Lonchura striata: one gene and its partners. The protein of the gene in region 2 interacts with the protein of the main gene of each other region in a pairwise test. Links are inferred from orthologs where the notes say so. Each region holds a gene or a part of one and is shown on either strand. Other genes may lie near its edges.

Region 1 (7,803 bases), about 8.1 Mb from region 2:
TGGTTCAGAAGCAGAACACAGAACCACCCCCCTTGATGTCTTGCTCTCAGCCCCACAAAAAATCCCACACAATAGAGGGTCTGCCCCTCCAGCTTTGATTTTTAACAGCTTCAAACAGAGCTCCCTCTCACAGGGGCACAGCACTCCAGGCTTCCAAAGGGGAGCTCCAAGGGCAGAAGGAAAGAAACTCTCTTTCATCAGGTACTGATAAAAGGGAAAGACAGGCAGGAGATCAGGAGGAAATGTAGCACATGCAGAAAAGAATTCATGGGAAATGCAAAAAGAAATCCCAGAAAGGATCCTCGAGGACTCAAAACAAAACCTGGAAGATGCTCAGAGCCAGAGGAGACCGAGTTTGAAAAATTTCAGTGTGTTTTATTTGACTGGAAAAAATAAAGCCTTTCCCCCCCTTTTCAGGTATGTTTATCTGACCCTAAACAAGGGAAACGGGGAGTTTTACAAAGTCTGGGAGAGGGCTGGGAACTCTGGGCATGGACAGGAGATGGGCTCTCGGTGTCAGTTGTGGTGACAGCCAAGAGAAACCAGCAGAGGTGGCAGTGCCAGAATTCCTGCAGGTAAAAGGAAAGGTGGGGCACAGGGAGCAGAGCTGTGCATCCCAGGCTGGAATTCCTTACCTGGCTGTGGATTCTCCCTCCTGCAGTGGGCAGGAGATGGCTCCACACACCATGAGCAGGGCTGCAGCCAGGCACACAGCATAGGCAGCACTGGATCCCAGCCCTGCTCCCGTGGGCAGCTCCGACCACACCACGATCTCCACGCTGGGAACATCCCTGGTAAAACAGACAGGGACTGACACAAGCACCCTGAATTCCATCTCCAGCCAACGTTTAAAATGCAAAGGAGGCCAGTTAGGACTGATCAAAGGGAAAGCTGATTGAGAACTTGCAACATCAGCACATGCATCTGACACTCTGGGGCTTCAGGAGGGCTCATTCCTGAATGGAGCAGCCTTGGCCAAGCCATTGTGCTGGAATAAAGCCCTCCTGAGTGGATCCATGATTGGCACAGCTTGTCAGGCTGCTAGCAGGGGCAGTTTGTAACCAAATACCTGAGCAGCACCATAAAGAGCCCCTTCAGAGGTTGCTGTAAACAGGATTGCAAACACATTTCTGAATAAAGTGTAAACATCCCAAATGTGTATTTGCACAGCCACATCCCACTGGAGCAAGAGGCTGGTGGGGAAGATGGAACATGGACATATCCATGTCCCTTTGCTCCACTGAACACACCTGGGTTGTGTTACAGACCCCAGAATCAAACCCAGGAGGTTTTCAGGGTTGTTGAGTGACAGCCCCAGTGCCACCCTAAGAGTGCAAGGAAACCACAACCCAGTTCTTTATCCTTGGATTTCCTGGATGAGAATAGGGAAGTTGGGCTCTGCTGTGGTTTCTGACACTGCCCTGAGCACCCATCCAGTCACACCAAGATCATTGACAGTGCTGGGGCAAGGCTGAGAACTGGAATAGCCCCAAGTTCCCAGAGTTTTTTTAGGCAGATTCAGCCCATAAAGAGATCAGACTCAGTTCAGACAATAAATTCACAGTTTATTTCTGTTTTTCCAGCCTAAGCCAGGATGACAGGAGCTGCCTGCTGGAGGGAGGGGTGTGTGTGTTGCGACTGTGGCATGAACTGCTCTGGTTTCAGCCCTCAAAACTAAGTGAGAGCAGAGACTCCCAGCTCACCTGCCTGAAGCAGCCACCCACCACCAAAATTTTGGGGCAGGAGTGGAGCCTTACCCATACTTAGCAGAAATAGCCAGGCACATATACAGGAAGGCAAGAGTAGCAAGACTTTCTGGAGCTGAAGCCCCAGCAGCAATTCCAGCAAACTCCCTCAGTGCATCCAGCTGTTCTACACTGGGGGACTTGGACTCATCTTCATCAGCTATGGAAGCAAGCAGGGGAGAGTTTAAACACTTAAAAACCAGGGAATTGTTACACTGAGAGCAGTATTTGCAACAAAACCTTCTGTTACAGCAGGCAGAAACAGCTGGGGCCAATTTCAGGTTCTACCTGAGGATCTGTGATAAAATAAAAGCAAAATCTCCACCAGGCACTCTGAAATCCCAGGGTTTCCACACTCCACATTTCCTGCCTACACCTCCCAGTGCATCCATCCATACTCACTATGGAAAACACAGCAAGTCACAAACTCTTCATTAAAGAATGGGGATTTTGGAACTGGGATATCCTGGGGCTCCAGCCAGTACAAGGTGCTGCAGAAATTCCCATGAGGGCTGGTGTGGGACAGACAGGCAGGAAAACAGGCTCAGGCTGACTCCTGCCTGTGTCACAACATTGCCTGAGCCACAACAGCACCAGAACAAGTCCCTGGAACCCAAACCAGGAGGGGACAGGGCCACCTGAGCATCAGCAGGGTCACAAGGGGAATGTAAGTAACTGAGAGGAGCAGGGACAGGTCAGTGAGTGGGGTCAGAGACAGGGGGGACAAATAACCCCACGGGGGTCCCTGCAGAGTCACCCCACGGGGGTTCTGCGAGGTCACCTCATGGCGGGAGTCCCAGCACGGTCACCGGGGTGCAGCGGGCACCGAACGGTCCCGAGAGCCCCTCAGTGCCCCGGGGCAGCGCCTCCTTCCTCTCCCCGGGCCTTGCCTGCGATCCGCCCGCGCAGGGCCCGCAGCCCGGGGCTGTCCCAGCTCCTCCGGACGCCGACGCCGGGCAGGGAGACGCTGAGCCGGCCCTCAGCGCCGGGCCGCAGGCAGAGAAACGTCCGCAGGTCCAGCGCCACGGCCAGGGCCACCTGCGGGCGGAGAACGGGGCTCAGCGAGGCCGCACCGAGCTGGGCGGCCCTCACGGTGCCCGCCGTGCCCTCACCGAGCTGGGCAGCCCTCGCCGTGCCCTCACCGATCTGGGCAGCCCTCACGGTGCCCGCCGTGCCCTCACCTTGCCCAGCACCACCGCGTGCTCCCCGTGCAGGATCACTTTGCCCGGCGCCGACACCGCCAGCTCCCGCCGCCACATCGCCGCCGCCGCCTCACGGCCCACGCCGACTGACAGCCCCACCCACCAATCGCAGCCGCGCCCTTGTCCCGCCTCCCTGCGCTCAGCCAATAGCAGGGCGCGCTGAGAGGGCGGGACTTGCGGGCGGCCAATGGGAAGGGGGCGTGGCGGGGTGGTGCGGCGCTGGGGTGACGGCGTGGGCTGAGGGCGGGACGGTGACGGCGGCCGGGAGGGATGTGGCGGCGGGCGGCGGCGGCGGGACGGGGACTGCGGGGCATGGCGGGGCGGGCAGGTGAGCGTGGGAGGGCCGGGACTGCCTCTCGGTGTCGTTCCGTCCCTCACGGTGTGCTTCTTCCCCTCACAGCGCCCCCCGCCCCCACGGTGTCCCCTCACGGTTTGTGCCTCCACAGCCCCGAGCGCGCCGCTGCCGAGCGGGCCCCGAGGATCTACACGAGGACGGGAGACTCAGGTAGAGCCCGGGGGGCACCGGGGAGCCGCGGGCAGAGCTGCCCAGCCCAGCCCTGAGCGCCTCTCCCCTTTCCCAAAGGATTCTCCAGCACCTTCACCGGGGAGCGGCGGCCCAAGGGCGACCGCATCTTCGAGGCCCTGGGAGCCACGGACGAGCTGAGCTCGGCCATCGGGTAAGGACCGGCTGGGAGAATCCAAACCACATGGAAAAGCGTGGTTGTTGTGATTTCTTCATTCCCAGCTAACTCTTGTTTTGTTTTTTTCACTCTAACCAAGGCTGGCTGGTGAGTTTAGCAGTGAAAAGGGCCACACGTTTGTTGATCAACTTCATAAAGTGAGTATTAAGGATAATCTTCATCCAGTGCTATAAAAACATGCACTCCTTAATTTTAACCACAGTGCTCCCACTGACACACAGGAATTGAATACATTTAGGATTTCAATATATAAATCTTTAAGACTCCCTTGATTGCTCTCTAAGAGGCAAATTTATTTAACCAAGAAGGAAGCTGATAGATCAAATTATTAGTTATGGGCAGACAGATTAATCTCTAGATTTATCCCAAGTGAGGTCCACATTGTGAACATGAGTTTTGTCGTAACAGAACTCCATGTTTGAAACTGGGACACAAACCAAGCATAAGGGCAGAGCAGTGACACAGGTCCTGCCTGGGCAGCCTGTGAGTTTGCCAGGCAAACTGAGCACAGGAATGCAAAAAGCCACGGCTGAGAGTGACAGCAGCTGTGATTTTTGTCCAGGTGCAGTGCATGCTGCAGGATGTGGGCTCCAACCTCGCCACGCCGCTCTCCTCGGCCAGGGAGGCTCACCGGAGTAAGTCCTGCCTTTCCTGGAGTGGCAGGGCTTGGGCACAGCCTGGCGTGGGTGGTTGGGATGCTGAGGGATGGATTTGGTTTCTTAGGACTTGCTGATCCAAGAAAGCAAAATCAGAGTATGTGACATTCACATTCTCTGGACAGAGAGACATAATTCTGTCTCTCAGGGGTAGCGCTGAGAGAAGAAAATCTTTATCTCTGCTCCTTTGTTTTCCCTATGTGGGATGTGGTGTGGAGATTGTTTACCTGCAGTGATTGCTGGGTTGGGTTCTGGTGAAGGTTGTTTGGGGTCAGTGACCAGTGGATCCAGCTGTGGCTTGGGTTCTCAGCACAGAGTCACAAGTTTGCAGTTAGTTAGATAGGTAAATAAGTATGTAGAATACTATAATTTTAATAAAGCTGTCCTTCAGCCTTCTGATCTGAAGCCAGACATCATAATTTTCTTCCCTGAGTCGGGGATCACCACATTTTTCACTATACTAGTTCAGTTTTTTGTCTGAATCACTTTTTTTCAGCTGTTTCTTCTTTTCCCTCTGTAGAACGAACGTCGTTCAGTGAGAAGCCCGTCCTGGAGCTGGAGCAGTGGATTGACAGTTACTCAGAGCAGCTCCCTCCCCTCAGAGCCTTCATCCTGCCCGTAGGTGCTGCCTGTGCCCCTCACTTCCTTGGGGTAGCCCTGCTCCACTGCTCACCATGGGAAAACAGCCTGGAAGGCTGCTATTTCCATAGGCAAGCACTGAGAAAAAAGCAGAGACGAGGAGCTGGGAGTTACTTCTGCCCACCCTGCTGCACTGGGATGTCCCTCCCTTGCCTGGCCATGGCACAGGGATCAGCTCCATGTGTGTGGGAGGGGAGGGGGAGCTGTCCCTGCTGGTGCAGACACTGAGTGGTGTTCCCTTGCTGTTCCAGTCTGGAGGCAGGAGCAGTGCTGCTCTCCACTTTTCCCGAGCCGTGTGCCGCAGGGCTGAGAGGTGGTGAGTGCTGGGATCACCCTGAGGAAAGGGGATGGGGACACCCCAGTGATACAAACCAGGGCTGGGCTGGGGGCTCAAGCCAAGCTTTTGTGTGTTTAGTCCAATTCCAGCCAGGCTCTCTTCCTTCCCCTTAGCTGGGTCATCCAACCTAAACCTTTTGGGATTCTGCAGCCCCATCCAAACTGGCCTTGGAGACTTCCAGGGATGAGATATCCACAGCTTCTCTGGGCAGCCTTGCCAGGGCCCCACCACCCTCACAGGGAAGAATTTCTTCCCGATATCCCATTTAACCCTGCCCTCTGGCAGTGGGAATCCATTCCCTCTGTCCTGTCACTCCAGGCCCTTGTAAATAAAAGAGTCTCTCTCTGTTCAGTGATTTCCCAGACACAAACATTTCTGGCATCATTTACCCTGCCCAGATCCCTCTGGGAAGCAAAAGTCCTTCATTTCTGCAGGAGTCAAACTGGGGACCCCAGGAGAGGTTTGGGGTGGGAGGAGGCTCCAGCCTTTGTGCACTCAGAGCTGGAAAATTAAACACCAGCATTTCCCTTTGCTTTTCCAGTGTGGTCCCTTTAGTCCAAGCAGGGGAAGCAGATCCAAACGTGGCCAAGTATTTAAACAGGTAAAAAAATAAAACCCCAACCTGTTGCCCTGTCCTACTGAAGCATTCCCTTAGTCCTGGGAATGGAACTGGGGGGTTTTGCTTCTCAACAAGCTTCTCTTCTGGATAAGATCCCTGGTTTTCCTGCTTTTCCCTTGCTTTCCAGGCTCAGTGATTATCTCTTTGTCCTGGCACGTTATGCTGCAATGAAGGAAGGGAAGGAAGAGAAAATCTACATAAAACCTGAGCCCTAGCTGGAGCTGGAATGTCTTTTCCTTTATTATGGAAAACTAAATCCAGTTGACTGCTTTTGTCAATCAAGGAAGGGAGAGAGAGCAAGCCTGGAGTGGAAATGGGAGCTGCCAAGGATTTCCATGTGACATAACCAGGAACTTGTTGATAAATCCTGAGAAGAACAGAATCACAGAATATCCTGAGTTGGAAGGGACTCAGACACATCTGTCCTATCCCTGGGCCTGGCCCACACATCCCATTTGAGGATGGCTCTGGAGTCACTGCTTCTCCCAGGTGGGAGTGAGGCAGGAGAATTCCTTAACATTTTGGAGATGCCTTCATTTCCCTGGGCAGCAGCAGGTGCTGTGGGAAGGCTCTGACAGGACTCTGAGGGATGATGAAGGGAAAACAATCAGCTCCTCCTTTGAAGGCACAGCGCTCGTGTAGAGCAGCAGCTGGAGGCCTTTGGGAATTGTGTCCACAGCTCTGGAATAATAAATGTGAATTTCCTTGTACCAAAGGGCCACAAACTGTCACGTTTTAACACCGAGCCCTGTGTGCTTTGCTGCTCCAAGTCCCTTCCAATCCATCAGCTCTGGCTGGAGCTGAGCTGTACAGATTTACAGGAATGCACCAAGAATTCCTTGGCTCTGGCTGCCTCTTGTTGTGCATGTGAGGAATGTCTCTGTGCTGACAATCCTGTGCATCCTCTGCCAGGAACGAGGCTCACAGAATGGAGGGGGTGAAGCAGGAAAGGCCAAATCCCAGGGTCTGCGTGCTGGGGTTGTCTACACATGGAGCTGTCCCTTGGAATGGTGGGACCAGCTGCAGGAACAGCTGGAGGAGCAGAGCCCAGGGTTTGGGAGCACCCAGGGCACTGAGGCTGCAGGAAAAGGGATTGGGGTGAGGAGCTGGGTGAGAGGGGCAGCACCCCGAGGGTTCCTCCCAGGGTGTCTGTGCTGACCCTGGAACATTGCTGGAGGGAGCTCACACCCACATCACACACACAGTTCCAGCTTTGCACTCATGTCCAAACTGCTTCCAGCTTGGAAATACTACTGGGAAGAGCCCATGGGAAGCCTGCTGGTGTAATTTTTCCCCCTGGGAATGGTGTGGGCTGCAAGGTGGTGATGCAGCTTTTAAATCCATCCTGCCCCTTCTCCCGTTCAATTATTTGAGTAGAACCAACCTTAAACTTGTTCTCCAAAGAATCTCTGGCTCTGTGTCCCTTTTTTGGCCAGTAAAAAATGCCCAGGAATGAGTGAGGAGTGCCCAGCACTAACAGATCTCCTGGCTCATCACTCACCTGGGTTTGAGGCAGATATTTCATGCCTCTTGTTAATGCACATTTTTCATGGAGTAATTTTCCAAGCCTCAGCCTGGAACACATCCTGGTGACAAATGCTCTGGATTTGGATGGTCCCGTCAGCTGCAGTGTCACCTCAGCCATTCCCTCTGCCTGCTCCTTCCAGTTTTACGAGAGCTCTGGCTCTGAGACTGAATCTCAGGAATCAAGAGGCTTTTCAAGTTTAATTTAATAAAATCCTTTGCAATATAAATTCTTCATGAATGCTCCATAAATCAGCTTGGGGAGGGATTTATAGTATTTCCCTTTTTTTTTTTCCAGCTGGGGGGAAGAAATCTCACGACTGTTTGGGGACCTAAGCTGGCATTGTTTGGATTGCAAGGAGAAATAAATCAAGCTACTA
Region 2 (7,599 bases):
TCCCCCTCGGGCAGGACACCTGTGACAGTCTCAGTGTTGGGGACAAGTGGGTGGCCCTCTGAGAAGGTTGGGGACATGTCCCCCCACGTTTTGGAGAGCTCAGTGTGCTGGGGGTGGCAGAGGGAGCACCCCCAGCTGGGGACATCAGTGTCCCCCTGGACAGGTTGTGAATGTGTCCCCCCAAATGTCGGGGGGCTCAGCGTGCCGGGGGATGGCAGAGGGAGCACCCCCAAGTCAGGGACATCAGTGTCCCCATCAGGGCACTGCCAGGGACATCAAGCCAGCACAAGGGCCCCCCCCCTTGTCGCCATGGATCCGCGGGGATGGGGGAGCCCCCAGCACCCTTCTGAGAGTGGGAAGACCCTCCTAGGAGACCTGGCACCCCCTCCTCGTGCCCCAGCACCCCCATCCCGCTGGGGCTGCACCCCTGCCGTGCCCCCCCGCCATGCTGTGCCACCCCTGCCGTGCCGTGTCCCCAGCCCGTGTCCCCAGCCCGCCGCGGGGCCAACGCGCTCTGCTCTGCTCTGCTCTCTCCCTCTCCCCCAGGCCAGTAGCTTCCAAACCCTCCTGCAGCAGCAGGCCCGGCTGGAGGTCCTGGCTAGAAGGGTCACCTTGCTGGAAGCCATCATCTGGCCAGGTAACCACCCCCGCCCCGCCCCGCATCAGCCCGGAGCGCCGCGGCACCCCGGGAGCGGGCATGGAGCACGGGGGGCTGGAGCCACCACAACGGGGCACCGAGAGCTCCGGGGCCACGGGAGAGCTCGGAGACCTGCTTGGACTGAGAGGGGCAGCCATGGAGATCTCTTGGATTTAGCCATGAAACCATGGAGATCCTCCAGGATTGAGAGGGGCAACCATGGAGATCCTCCAGGATTGAGAAGGGCAACCATGGAGATCTCATGGATTGAGAAGGGCAACCATGGAGATCTCTTGGATTTAGCCATGCAACCATGGAGATCTCTTGGATTTAGCCATGCAGCCATGGAGATCTCTTGGATTGAGAGGTGACCATGGAGAGCTCTTGGATTGAGAGAGGCAACAATGGAGATCCTCTTGGACTGAGAGGTGAACATGGAGATCTGTTTGGATTAAGAGGTGACTATGGAGATCTCTTGGATTGAGAAGGGCAACCATGGAGATTCTCCAGGATTGAGAAGGGCAACCATGGAAATCTCTTGGATTGAGAGAGGCAACCATGGAGATCACTTGGATTTAGCCATGCAACCATGGAGATCCTCTTGGATTGAGAGGTGATCATGGAGATCCTCTTGGATTGAGAGGTGACCATGGAGATCTCTTGGATTTAGCTATGCAATCATGGAGATCCTCCTGGACTGAGAGGTGACCATGGACATCCTCTTGGATTGAGAGGTGACCACGGAGATCCTCTTGGCTTGAGTGAGGCAACCATGGAGACCTCTTGGATTTAGCCATGCAACCTTGGAGATCTGTTTGGATTGAGAGGTGACCATGGAGATCTGTTGGATTGAGAGGTGACCATGGAGATCCTCCTGGATTGAGAAGGGCAGCCATGGAGATCCTCTTGGATTGAGAGAGGCAAACATGGAAATACTCTTGGATTGAGAGGTGACCATGAAGATCTCTTGGATTGAGAGGTGACCATGGAGATCCTTGTGGGCCAAAGGAAACTGGAGCCTGCCACGGTTTAAGGGAGACCATGGAGAGACCCTCTCACCCCAAGGGAGCTCATGGAGACCCCTCTTGGACCAAGAGGAACCCTGGAGCTCTTTAGAGTTCCAGGGAGCCCATGGAGAGACTCTCTTACCCCAAGGGAGCCCATGGAGACCCTTGTACTACTAGGAACCCTGGAGCTCTTTAGGGTTCCAGGAGCCCATGGAGAGACTCTCACTCCAAAGGAGACCATGGAGACTCCTCTTGGACCAAGAGGAACCCTGGAGTTCTTTAGGGTTCCAAGAAGCCCATGGAGAGACTCTCACTCCAAAGGAGACCATGGAGACCCCTCTTGGATCAAGGGGACCCATGGAGGTCCCTCAAGGCCAAGGGAAGCTCCAGAGCCCCTCTGGAACCATGGGAGACCACAGAGCCTCTCTTGAGCCAAGAGGAACCCTGGAGCTCCCCAGGGCTCCAGGAAATCCTGGGAGAAGGGAGACCCTGGAGACCCCCTCAAGCTAAGGGAGGCACACGGACCCCCCAGGCTCACCGGAGCCCACGGGGACCCCTCGGACCGAAGCAGCTCCCAGCGCTCCCGTTGTCCCAAGGGATCCCCCAGTGCCAACCCCCCCGTGCCAGGGTGCCCCCCACCCTCACCCCCCCGCCCCCTCCCCATTCCAGCTGTGCTTTCCCAGGGCTCCAACCGGGGGTGCCAGGCAGGGGTGCCAGCTGGGGGGTCCTCGGGTGGGTGTCCCCAGGGCTTGGGGACACTCAGAGCCACAGTGGGGCAGTGACCCCCATTTCTGCGGGGCACAACACCCACAGCACAGCCCCCGGCGCCGATTTGGGGGATTACAGAGCTGGGGGGGTGACACCCCACCCCTGACACCCCTTTTTTCCTCTCCTCCCACAGAGCCAGAGCCCGGCTCGGGCAGCGGTGTCCCCAGCACAGCCACCCCCGGGGTGCCCCACGGCAAGCGTGGCAGCGGCCACCCCCCCTACCGCATCGTCACCGCCGCCCGCCGCGCCCCCCCGGAGCCGTGACAGGGGCGTCACCCGGGCCACCCCCGCCGTGCCACCCTGGGGAGCAGGACGGGCTCAGCCCCGTCCCCCCTCTTGGTGCTACTGGTGGCACGGCACCGTCCCCCCACCACGCTTCGCCCCCATCGCCGCTGCTTGAGTCCCCGGGAGGGCCAGGGCTGTCCCCAAGGCCATTTCTGTCCCCCGGGCAAGGCGCAGCTCCGGGGGGGTGGGCTCTGTCTCATCCCACCTCCCCGGGCACCCCAGCCCAGGGGAGGGGATTGGGGGGCTGGCGGTGGGCACCCCCCGGGCGGGGAGCCCGCCGTGCTGCGCGCTTCGCTGCTTGGGGACCCGCCAGGTCATTAAATGTCCCCAAATCCCTGTCCTGTGGGGTCGCTTGGTGCGCCGGGGTGACCCGGGCACCTGTGGGGTGGGATGGGATGGGATCTATGGGATGGGATCCATGGGATAGCATCTATGGGATAGGATCTATGGGACCCATGAGGTGGGACCTATGGGATGGGATGGGATGGGATGGGATGGGATGGGATGGGATGGGATGGGATGGGATGGGATGGGATGGGATGGGATGGGATGGGATGGGATGGGATAGGATCTATGGGATGGGATCCATGGGATCCATGGGGTGGGATGGGATCCATGGGATGGGACGGGATGGGATCCTTGGGATGGGATGGGATGGGATCCATGGGATGGGATCTGTGGGATGGGATCTATGGGATGGGATGGGATTCCTGGGATAAGATGTGACCCATGGGATGGAATGGGATGGGATGGGATGGGATGGGATCCATGGGATGGGATCCATGGGATGGGATAGGATCTATGGGATGGGATCAATGGGATGGAATGGGATGGGATGGGATATGATCTATGAGATCCATGGGGTGAGACCTATGGGATGGGATGGATTGGGATGGGATGGAATGGGATGGGATAGGATCTAGGGGATGGGATCCATGGGATCCATGGGGTGGGATGGGATCCATGAGATGGGACGGGATGGGATCCTTGGGATGGGATTGGATGGGATGGGATGGGATTGGATGGGATGGGATGGGATCCATGGGATGGAATGGAGTTCAGGGACACCCAGGGGACACATGGCTGTGCCATGGGACACCCACCCGCGATGTGACACCAATCCATGCAACATCAGCCCCGGGACACCCACCCGCATCCCACCACCCATGGGACACCCAGCTGTGCCACCACAGCCCGGGTCACCCCCAGTACACGCAGGACACGCGGTACCCCCTCATGTCCTCATGGGACATGATGACGTCATGCAGCGATGACACGCGGTGACGTCACTCTGCCACGCTCGCCACGTGGGCAGCGTGCAATGCCAACCACAGCACGGGCACCCCAACGAGCACCCGCCCTGCCACTTCTCGGCACCTGGCGAGGTCGCACACAGCCCGTGGCGCCAGCCGCCGGCCGGTGACACCGAGTGACCGACCTCACGGCCAGGAGGCGCCGCCAGGCCCCCCCCGCGGCACGGCGCGTGACGTCACGGCAGCCCCGCCACGCCGCAATGACATCACTACGCCGGCCGTGACGTCACGCCCCCGCCGCGCTCCCCGCTCCGCCTCGCGGCCCGAGCGCCTCTTGCGCGACGGTCCCTAACGGCCGCGGGCCGTACCATCCCTCCGCCCGGCGGGGGGGGGAAGCGCGCAGCGAGGCGGCGGAGCCGCAAACCGGAGCGGCGGCCGCTGCCGGCGGGGCCGTCCCGGTTCCCCGCGGACGGCAGCAGCGGCGGGCGGGCGGCGGAGCGGGGCGGGCCGAGCCCCCGGGGCGCGATCTGCCGGCGGCGCCCCCCGGGCGCGGGGTGGTGCGCGCGGCGGGGCCGGGCGGCGCATGCGCGGCGCGGGGCGGGGCCGGGCGGGCAGCGCGGAGGAGGAAGGCGAGAAAATGGCGTCGACGGGTGAGCGGGGCCGGGGCGGGCCGGGCCCGGGGCGGGCGGCGGGGCGGGACGGGACCCCCGGCAGCGCCGCCGCCCCCGCCGCGGAGCGGCCGGAGGGGCGCTGGGACGGCGCCGCCGGCCCGCGGCGCCGCGCCCGGGGGGCCGCTGGGGTCGGGCCGTGCAGGGCCCGTCCCGCCCGTGTCCCAGCGGTCCGCCCGCCCGGGCCGCGCCGGGGCCGCGGGTGTTTCCCCTCAGTGTCCGCTGCGGCTCTTGCGGCCGCTCGGTGCCGCCGGATCGCCGGGGCCCCGCGCTCGCAGCAGCCGAGGCCGAGCGGGGCTCGCTCCGGCCCTGCCGGGCGGCTCTGGCTGCGATGCGGGACGGCGGAGCGCCGCGGGTGGGAAGGGAGCCGGAGCCATCCCGGGGGCAGCGACACCTCCCGCTGCCCCTGCGGGCTCCCAGCCCGGCCCGCGGCACCGCCGGGCACGGAGCATCCTCTGGGATCTCCGCTCCAGCACCTCCCAGCCAGGAATTCCTGCCCAAAGTCCCATCCAGCTCTCCCCTCTGGCAGTGGGAGCCATTCCCTGTGTCCTGTCCCTCCATCCCTTGTCCCCAGCCCCTCTCCAGCTCTCCTGGAGCTCCTTTATGCCCTGGAAGGGGCTTTGAGCTCTCCCTGGAGCCTTCTCCTCTGCCAACTTTTCCCCACAGGGAGATAAGATGTTCCACCATCTCCATGGCTCCACATTTTTCTGAATGAAACGTTTTTCCACGAGGGCTCCAGCTGGATACAAATAGTTGGAGACTGAGACTCTCCAGCTCAGTACACCTTAAAGTACTTTAAATCCCAGCAGGATTTGACTCCCTTTAAAAGAAATGAGGATTTTCCTTTTTTCCAGCAAGGAAAATCTCCCAGGCCATGGAGTGTGAGGGAATATCACCAACAGCACCTTGGGGAGCTTGAAAAAGAAAAGTCAGTAAAGGAACATCTGCCAGTGGAATTGTCAGGATGGGGGTTAAAACCACAGCTGTGTTTTCCCTTAATTCATGGAATTGTTCCTCCTGGGAGCTGCTATTTTCAGCCTCTGGTGTGCTTCTGAGCCTTGTGAAATAAAAGGAAGAAGATTAATTTCCCCCTGGAAATAAAAGCCAGGAGATGGGTTTAACTAAATGAACCATAATATTATTTTTTATTAATGTTCCATGTTCCTCTAAATCCCAGCAAATTAAAAGAGAGGCATCACCACAGGCAAACTGCAAATTCCACACCTGGAATTAAATCCTGCAGAGGGGAAAATGTTGGGTTTAGGTGGGACTGGGGGAGGGCTGTGAGGAGAGGGGTTAATTGATACCCCTGCGTGGAGCTCGAGGCCAAAATGGGCTAAAAACAAATTAAATGAGGTTTTGGTGGCTGGAGGGTGAGCAGGGAAAAAAGTGGAGTGGTAGGGAAAGGGAAGCTGGATGAGGGGGACCAGGCATTAATTAACACTCAGGATTTAGCAGAACCACATGTAAAGTGAATGAAAAAAAAAAACAAACAAACCCAGAACCCTGAACTGAACAAGGAAAATGTTCCAGTATCCCACTTGCCAACCTGAGAGGGAAGTGGGAATGCTGCCAGGGGAGTTTAACAACTTGTGCCTTGTGTCCTGGGAGCAGGGAAAGCTTTGGAGAACTCCAAGTGTCTTCTTTCCCCGTGTGAGGTGTTCTGGGCAAGGTCAAAGGAATGGACAACTGCCAAGGATTCCTGCTGGGATCCCTGTTCCTGCCTCCAGCAGGGATCCAGGGGCTCTGCTCCTGCCCAGGGAGCAGGAGGAGAAGCTGGGAGCACCCCTGGAGGCTGGGCAGGAAGGGTTTAGTAGGGATGGATGCACAGGCTGGGGAACAGGAGGTTGTGCTGGATGGAAGCTGTGTTTTCCAAGTGATTCCTGGGGCTCCATGCCTTGGGAATTGTGGGATAATGGCATTAAAGCCAGGCAAAATTTGCTTCCTCAAGTTCTCCAGTGCAGGAGTTGAGCATGATCCGTGTGGGTCTCTCCCACTTGGGGATATTCCATGATTCTTGGGAGAAACTTGGATTTCTGGCCAAGGTGTGATGGTGATGGGAGCAGTGGAAACTCTTCCCGCACAGGGATGGTTGGGAGCAGCTCCACTGATGCAGCTTCTGGCTGTGGCCTCCACCAGGAGGTTCTGGGCTCATTCCTGATCTCCTGAGCACCTTCTGTGCTCCTGGCAGAGCTGGGGTCTCTGGCCAGGTCTGCTGGGAATGATGAATTCATCCGTGCTCCGGACCTTGGGTTGGGAGCTGGAGCTGTTGCTGCCTCTGAGGGAACTGGGAGCTGCAGTCCTTTCAAATTTAGCCTCCTAATTGCCATGTGGATTCATTTTCCATCCCTGCCAGCAAATCACTTCAGCACAGGCTTTGCTGCTGGGGTTTTCAGGATTTTGGTTCTCCTCCCAGTCAGTTGCTGACTTGGATTGAGGATCTGTGGAGGGAATCACTCCCATCTTCCCAGCTCCAGCCCTTCCAGGGGGACAAGTGGCTTTCCAGCCATCCATTTGTGTCCTTGAAAGGGAAGGAGTGAAGGTGGTGAAACCTTCCAGCCCAGCCCTTTCAGAGCAGGGTGGTGGGTTTGGAAGGCTCAGATCCCTGTTTTTCCTTTGTTCCAACCCAAATCCCCCCCTGCCAGCCCCCTGGGATCCATCCAAGGTGGCAGTTAAATTGAACCGGGGTCATTTGAGATCAAAGTGGCTGCTGCGAGCAGCAGGAACAATGAGGGGAAGGGAGGTTTTGTTCCCCTCCAAAAGGAGGACTGAAAATGTGCATTTACCTTCCACCCTTGGGAAACTGGAATTCCAGTGGTTTATAGCGAGCTGCAGGAGGAAATTCCAGCTGCTGTGCTCTTGGTCTCTTTAATTTTATTAAGCCTTTATCAATGTTTTTATTCTTCTCCTTTTCTTTTAGATTACAGTACCTATAGCCAAGCTGCAGCTCAGCAGGGGTAAGTAGCTTATCCTCCCTGTTT
Region 3 (7,060 bases), on a different chromosome or scaffold from region 2:
AAGTGATTAGGAGCTGGAAGAACAATAAAGCTCCTTTTTAACATGAAATTTACATAGAGGAAGTAGATAAAATCATGCCACTAGTTTGAAAATCCTGAAAACAATTATGGGGAAACAAGAGAAAAATATTAAATTCAGCATATTAAACAACATAAATATTTTTTTTTATTGATAGACCATTCAAATAAAAAACACTCCAGATACTTGGTTACATATGCAACACGTTACAGGTAATAGAACTATAGTGTAAGATTTTTAAAACACTGGCACAAATTTTAAAAGAGTTAACTAACAATGTCAGTCATGATTTTTTAGTACAAATTCAAAAAAATCTCTGATCTGAATGAATGCATGACAGGCTCCAACATTTTCATATATGAGATACAACACTGTCTCATTAAAAACAAACCACAATATAAACCAAGCAAAGCAGTTTCTCATGAAAAGGAACCTTTTCCTACAAATAACTGTAACTACATGTGCAAGACAAGTAACATCAGTTTTAAAATCCTGCTTTTCTCTTTTGTTTTAATCAGTCTTCATTTCATTTTTATTTACATTAAGAACTCTCCTACACATGCTCTTCATTAAAAACAAAACCCCTCAAGAAAAAATCTGACACCCCTCCCTCAAGCCAGCCCCACAGAAACTAAGAATACAAAAATATGCCTTTGAGGAATATTCTTTAAAATTCCATAAAAGCATCATACAAATCATATGTAGAACTCTCCCATGATCTCCCTTACAGTTGAAACCTCAAAAGTTCTCTTTATTCCAGAATCTTCCTATGGCTTCATCGCTCAGTTGAACAATGAGTTACTGAAGCTGCACTGGCTGTACAGCCAGGCTTGAGTGGAATCCAGAAGCCTCCTCCAGCTCATGCCCTTCCTGCAGCAAGAAACTCAAGACTAAACACAAATTTCTGTCCCTCTGGGACCACATCCCTACTGCTGGTCATATGACCAAACTGCAACAGAAGAACAGAAGAACCTGCTCAACAATCACAGGCTTCCTCACTGGAGTAACATGAAACTGATAGAAAAAGAGAGAGATACTAAAATACCACTGGAATTAGTTGTATTACATGCTTACATACTAATTTCACTAAAAGGACCTTTCTGTATTTGTACAGCATTATCTGAAAGTAATAAACCTTAATTCTCATGTGTAAAAGTCATACACATGAAGTGCCAAATGCAAAAAAGAGATCCTACAGTATTTAACTGACATGAACTTCCATTGTTTTGTGCAGAGAACACTGCTTCTTTACCATAAGCTGAAATCCTCTCATTGAAACCTCTCCTGACATAAAATGCTGCCCTGCTTTCAATGTTTTTGATCACTTTTATCTTACCAAGGAAAGGACAAACTTTGCAGATTGGGACTCCTGAAGCCCCATACTTAAATCCTACTTTCTGCAACTGCTATTTGTCTCTAAAAAGGCCACAACGCTGGTTGTTTTATTAAATTTTCTTAATAAATACCATGTCCCTCGTGTGTTTCTATCAAAACAACTGGAGTATGCAGACTCAGGAACATGCAGTGCTTCTAAATATTCTGACAGCACTTGATGGGGGAAAAAATACCCCTTAAGAAAAAGAATAATTCAGTTAGATTTTCCCTAAAATAATAACAGAATAAAAATGTTTGGCTTTCCAACTTAAAACATGTTGATGTGCAACTTTTTAACTGTGTTACTAACTTGCCAGGGAGCAGGTATGTTTCACGTGAGAGACTGTCAACTCACCCTTCCCCAGAAGGCAGAGAAAGTACAAGTTACCATCTCACCTTGTAACTCTGAATGTATTATGCTTTGTCACTTCAATTTCACAAGCTTTGCTATTAAACTAGAAAGCAATTCAGTAATAAAAAGTTAATTCATACTGTGATAGACAAGGCCACGTAAGAAGAGTGCATCTGTTAAACTGTTTTCAAAGCCAGACTGAAGGTCACTGAAGCAGAGGCCATCACAGCTGAAATCCAACACTCGCCCTCTGAACAGCAGCTACTTAACACCACAACACTCGCCAAATTTTGCAACCCAAACCTACTCAGAAAGAGCACTCCCCAGTTTTTATGGATCTCAGAACAGCAATTTTTTAAAGGACAGCACACGGCTATCTTACTTGACTTCTTAAATAAATTCGACATAACAAAACAAAGTAACAGAACTAGTATTAACACAATAAAGTTGAAGAGACATTGGCAAAGTGCAAGAAAAAATCCAATTATACTTTGAACAGCATTAAAACAGAAATAGGTCATATTTGGGAACCTGGATAAAACACAGCAGTTCACAGCAGCATTTTCCTCCAAAACAGGAAATACTGCTCGGCACACAGAAGTACATTATATGAACTGCGATTTCTCTAGCGGTTCTCCCAGTCCGTGCTCATTACACAAGCCCAGCCAAGCCAGGCTCGGTGACGAGATGGCTCTGAGCGCACAGGGACAGCCCCGCCTGCCGCTGCTTCTCCTCGTACTCATTTCTCAGCCTTGCGAGCTCTCTCTCAGGAAAGAGAAGTAGCTGCAGCCTACACTTCCCCACACCCGGGGGCTGTTTCTGCAGTCCCCAGAACACGGTTCCCGTGCCAAAGAAGACACCGAGGCTCAGCCCTGACTGTCCTTTCCCTGGAGGGCTGGAAGGGACGGCAACGTCCAGCTGGGACGGGCCACAGGCACCGTCGCGCGAGGGGCCTGGCTTTCGCCCAAGGCAGAGGGCAAGCCACTGCCGGAGGTGAGAGACGCCAGGGAAGGAGAGCGCGGCCCGGCCCGGCCCGACACAGGCCGAGCGCACCCCGGGGCTCCGGGGGCTGCCCCGCGGGGCGGGAGGCCCGGGCACCGCCCCAGCGGATCCTCAGAGAGAGCTCGCGCGCCTCCCCCGTCTCGGCGGCCCGGAAGGCCACAACCGACGGCGCTGTACCCAAGGCGGGCAGGCAGCGGGATCCGCCCGCTCCTCCCTCACTCGCTCCCTCCCTCCCTCGCTCACCCGCTCGTGGAAGATCGACTCCATGTTTACTGTGGCAGCCGCAGCCCCCGCCCCACGTGACCCGCCCGGCCAATCGCAGCGCCCATCGCCCCCCGGCCGCGCAGGGCAGGCCCCGCCGGCTGCGCCCGGCCCGCCCGCCGCTCTGGCGCCCCCTGCCGGAGAGGAGGCCGGCGGGCTAAACCGTCGCTGGCCGCGAGCGCCCCCGCGCGGCAGCAGCGCCCGCGGGGAGCGACACCCGCCGCCGGCTCGCTCCTCTGCCGGCTGGCCCCGCACCGGCCCGGGACCGCTTCTATCCGCACCGGCCCGGGACCGCTTCTATCCGCACCGGCCCGGTACCGCTTCTATCCGCACCGGCCCGGTACCGCTTCTATCCGCACCGGCCCGGGACCGCTTCTATCCGCACCGGCCCCGCGCCGCTTCTATCCGCACCGGCCCCGCGCCGCTTCTATCCGCACCGGCCCGGTACCGCTTCTATCCGCACCGGCCCGGTACCGCTTCTATCCGCACCGCCCGGTACCGCTTCTATCCGCACCGGCCGGGTACCGCTTCTATCCGCACCGGCCCGGTACCGCTTCTATCCGCACCGGCCCCGCGCCGCTTCTATCCGCACCTGCCCGGTACCGCTTCTATCCGCACCGGCCCGGTACCGCTTCTATCCGCACCGGCCCCGCGCCGCTTCTATCCGCACCGGCCCCGCGCCGCTTCCCCCGCACCGAGCGGAGCGGCGCCCGGCACCGCTCCTGCCTTGTGCTCACCAGCTGCGCACTCCTTAGACCCTCCTGGTCCGCTCACAAAGCCTCAATAACTGCTTAACCACTATTCCAAACAAGCCTACAGAGACAATCCAGAAAGCAACTTAAGCAGGTTCAGTACCTGTCAAACACATTCTGGATTTATGGAAGTATTTCTTTGAAGGCTAGTTCATGAAATAGCTATAAACACACGGATTCCACACCATACACAGCAATACCAACATAAATGATTTTTGCATAGTTTATTCTATAATTCTTCCTCTCCTTTCCAGAGTAAGGAAGAAAATTCTCTCAATGCTTGTGGACTAATGGAACTCCTGAACATATATGAGTCATGTAATTAAATCATCTTCAAAAAGTAACACCAGATATTAAACTAGCACTGATGAACTGCAGATGTCCTTTACTGTAGTATCCTCTCAGGGTAAAAATCATATTCCTGTTCTTTCAATATGTAAGACGATGAATCAAACAAAAATGTCTTCCTTTTCATCATCAGCTTTTATTTCCAAGTTACTTCTTCACCAGGCTTCAATTCCCTGTGTAGAAAAAAACCCAAAAAACAAGAGGGAAGAGACTAAAATTAGTATCATTATTTTTAGAATAATTATTAATATTTGTGTTAGTTTACATTCAACCATACCTTCAATTTGAGATTTATGTAAAAATTTAATTTTCCTTGCAATTGCTGTCAGTTAAAAATCTTTCCATACTGATAAACTTCCTCCTTTCTTTCAAAAGCTTCAATGGATTGAGTCCTCTGAATTTCCATTCATTTAAATGGAAGCACAGAACAGCTGACTTCTAAGTAGTTAACAGACTTTTAACTGGATCCAAAATGAAAAATTCTACTTTTTTAAAATGTAACAATTCATTACTTTAGTGGAAAGAGAAATGTGAAAGAAGAAGGGATTTTTACAAGACACCGACATAGCAGCCCAACTTCACTAACAAATACATTAAGAAAAGTGCTAATGTATCAGGGGAGTGGATTATGTCAAAAGCTTTCTTTCTTATTCAAAATGAATTTAGGTGAGGCCAGAGGAGGAAAGACAAATCCACTAGAAAACTGATAGCTACTATCAGTTTCTGCAACATGACTTTTTTCTCTCCTCTTTTGTTAACCTCAAGACCTAATACAGAATTAGAACTGACACAGGTGAGTCAATGCCTGAAGTTCTCTGATGTAAATACTCCCTGAGGAACCAGAGCCAGAAAACCCAAACTCATCAGTGTATATAATCACATAATTCAGTGAAGACATAGCAGGTTGTATGTTAATTTTCAAGGACTTGGTAATTACTTTTAAGTAACACACATTTATAAAAAGAATTTTGTCAAAAAGCACTGTGATAATTTTAAATTTAAGAAAGAAAATAAAAACTCAAGCACTGTGTTTTCTGCTGAAGTTACAGAGAGTTAAAATAATGGTTTCCATATTTCATGACCACGAACTTGACAGCAGTTAATGATTCTTTCTTTCATGAAGATGATAGCTTCTAAAGATTCCGTTTTCAGAGGGTATTACTGACCTAAAACACTTCATGAATGCTTGATATTTTTAGGCCTTTCTTCCCTTTTTTTGGTTACAATCATGACTAAAAAAGAACTGAGAAGCACTTTGAATAATAACTATATACGTATACAAGAGGCATCATAAAGCAGACCTTTTATATAATAAGCTCTTGTTTCTGAAGGCAGACAATCTTTCATCATTCCATCTGTCCAAATAGCATCCAATCACAAATCCTAAGGGAACAAGGATGTGAACCCAGTGTTCACGCACAGCTTGGGCGAAATTCACCATGACTGCTAGAAAGAAAAGTGTAGGAGGTAAGAGGTACTAATACTTGTGCACTTGGAAACTGGTGCATGCTTGGCACCTTTACTCTCACTTATTAGGATTCCACAATTACATAATATACATGAAGGCTATCAAACACTTCCTGGGAGAAACATGCTGCTCTCAAACCCATACCCGGCCTTCTTAGAAATAATCCTAAATGTTAACCCTGGGAAAAAGGATTTCATCCTAAAACAGGAGAGAAATAAAACATCTCTTTAATTTACTCTTTAAAGCAATTCTATAGAAGTTTGCTACTCTGTAAAGCATTAGAAACACTTTCATAACCTAAACTTCTGTAGAAGGAGACTTCATTATCTGCGTCAAGTCTCAGAGACTGACAGATAAGAAAGGACTTTTCTAAAATCACAGAATGACAGAATCATTACAGTTGGAATGGACCTTTGGAGATCATCCAGTCCAACCTCTCTGTCAACACATCCTGGTGGTTTCTCAATGTCTCCAGATAGGGAGACTTCACGGCCTCTCTGGAAAGCTGTTCCAGTGCTCTGTAACCCTCAAATTGAAGAAGTTCTTCCTCGTCTTGAGGCAGAACTTCTTGTGTTTTAGCAATGGCTATTGCTCCTTGTCCCATTGCTGGGCACCAACGAAAAGAGTTTGGCACCCGTCTTTGAGATATTTACACCCATTAGTGAGATCCCCTCGCAGACCTCTCCAAACTATAGGGGCCCAGCAAACCTTCCCAACCCAACCAAAGCCTTCCAGATTAGGGAATTACACGGGATGGCAGTGAGGTCTGTCACACAGCCGCGGGCTCGGACCCCGGCCGGCTCCCGGGGGCGAACTCCGCCGCCGTTCGCGCCGCGGCCGCTGTGGGGCGGCCAGGCAGGCGGACAGGCAGGCGGACAGGCGGGCACCCCTGCGGAACCCCCGCCCCGGGCCCGGCCGCTGACTCGCGGCACGGCCCCACCACCTCCCGGCTCAGCCGCCTCCGGCCTGCCCGGGACCCGACCGCCGTAAAGCCCCACGGCTGAGGGGCGCTCGCTCCCGCCCGCCCGCCGCCGCCGTGTCCCGGCCGAGGCGCTCCCGGCAGGCCCGACAGCGGTCCCGCCCCGCGCCACCCCGCCATTACCGCCGCTCGCGCCGCAGCGGGACCGCAGCGGCCGCGCCAAGGGCACCGGGAACGGGCGGGCCGGGCCAGACCACGCGCTGCGCGGGGCCGGGGGAGGAGCGCGCTCCCCCCGGCAGGCTCGCGGTGGTGCCGCCCGCTACCCTTCCGCCCGCTGCCCCGCCTCCCCGCCCCCGCAAGATGGCGGCGAGCGCGGCGCGGGCTGGGGGTGGTTGAGGGCGGCAGGTACCGGCTTCTTCGCATCATCATCCTCCTCTTCCCCTTGTTCTCCTCGTCTCGGACTGGAGTGCGCGCACCGCTCGCCCCCGTGTCCCCGTCCCCGCCCGGCGAGAGGCCAGGCCCGGGCGCCAGGCCCGGTGGGGCGCTGGAGCCCCGGAGCCCCCGCG

Evidence for each region.
Region 1: the proteins of EWSR1 (region 2) and MVK interact in a two-hybrid assay, tested with the Homo sapiens proteins (2 studies listed by BioGRID and IntAct). The two-hybrid records come from large-scale screens. The link is inferred for Lonchura striata from reciprocal best matches to the Homo sapiens genes EWSR1 and MVK.
Region 3: the proteins of EWSR1 (region 2) and ATXN3 interact in binary tests that used the Homo sapiens proteins (3 or more experiments, as listed by UniProt). The link is inferred for Lonchura striata from reciprocal best matches to the Homo sapiens genes EWSR1 and ATXN3.

The regions. Positions count from the first base shown.
Region 1 is NC_134620.1:11,140,494-11,148,296, forward strand, and holds the start of MVK (mevalonate kinase), read right to left. Parts: upstream 3,041-7,803; 5' UTR 3,005-3,040; coding exon 2,927-3,004; intron 2,784-2,926; coding exon 2,636-2,783; intron 1,906-2,635; coding exon 1,758-1,905; intron 792-1,757; coding exon 636-791; intron 1-635. Other genes in the region: corrinoid adenosyltransferase MMAB, read left to right, coding at 3,218-3,275, 3,348-3,452, 3,531-3,624, 3,728-3,785, 4,211-4,283, 4,825-4,922, 5,195-5,259, 5,394-5,793. UniProt on the Homo sapiens protein: Catalyzes the phosphorylation of mevalonate to mevalonate 5-phosphate, a key step in isoprenoid and cholesterol biosynthesis.
Region 2 is NC_134620.1:3,037,423-3,045,021, reverse strand, and holds the start of EWSR1 (RNA-binding protein EWS), read left to right. Parts: upstream 1-4,539; 5' UTR 4,540-4,587; coding exon 4,588-4,600; intron 4,601-7,538; coding exon 7,539-7,575; intron 7,576-7,599. UniProt on the Homo sapiens protein: Binds to ssRNA containing the consensus sequence 5'-AGGUAA-3'. Might normally function as a transcriptional repressor. EWS-fusion-proteins (EFPS) may play a role in the tumorigenic process.
Region 3 is NC_134608.1:16,337,448-16,344,507, reverse strand, and holds the start of ATXN3 (ataxin-3), read right to left. Parts: upstream 3,041-7,060; 5' UTR 3,014-3,040; coding exon 2,990-3,013; intron 1-2,989. Other genes in the region: NDUFB1 (NADH dehydrogenase [ubiquinone] 1 beta subcomplex subunit 1), read right to left, coding at 4,244-4,280, 5,409-5,548. UniProt on the Homo sapiens protein: Deubiquitinating enzyme involved in protein homeostasis maintenance, transcription, cytoskeleton regulation, myogenesis and degradation of misfolded chaperone substrates.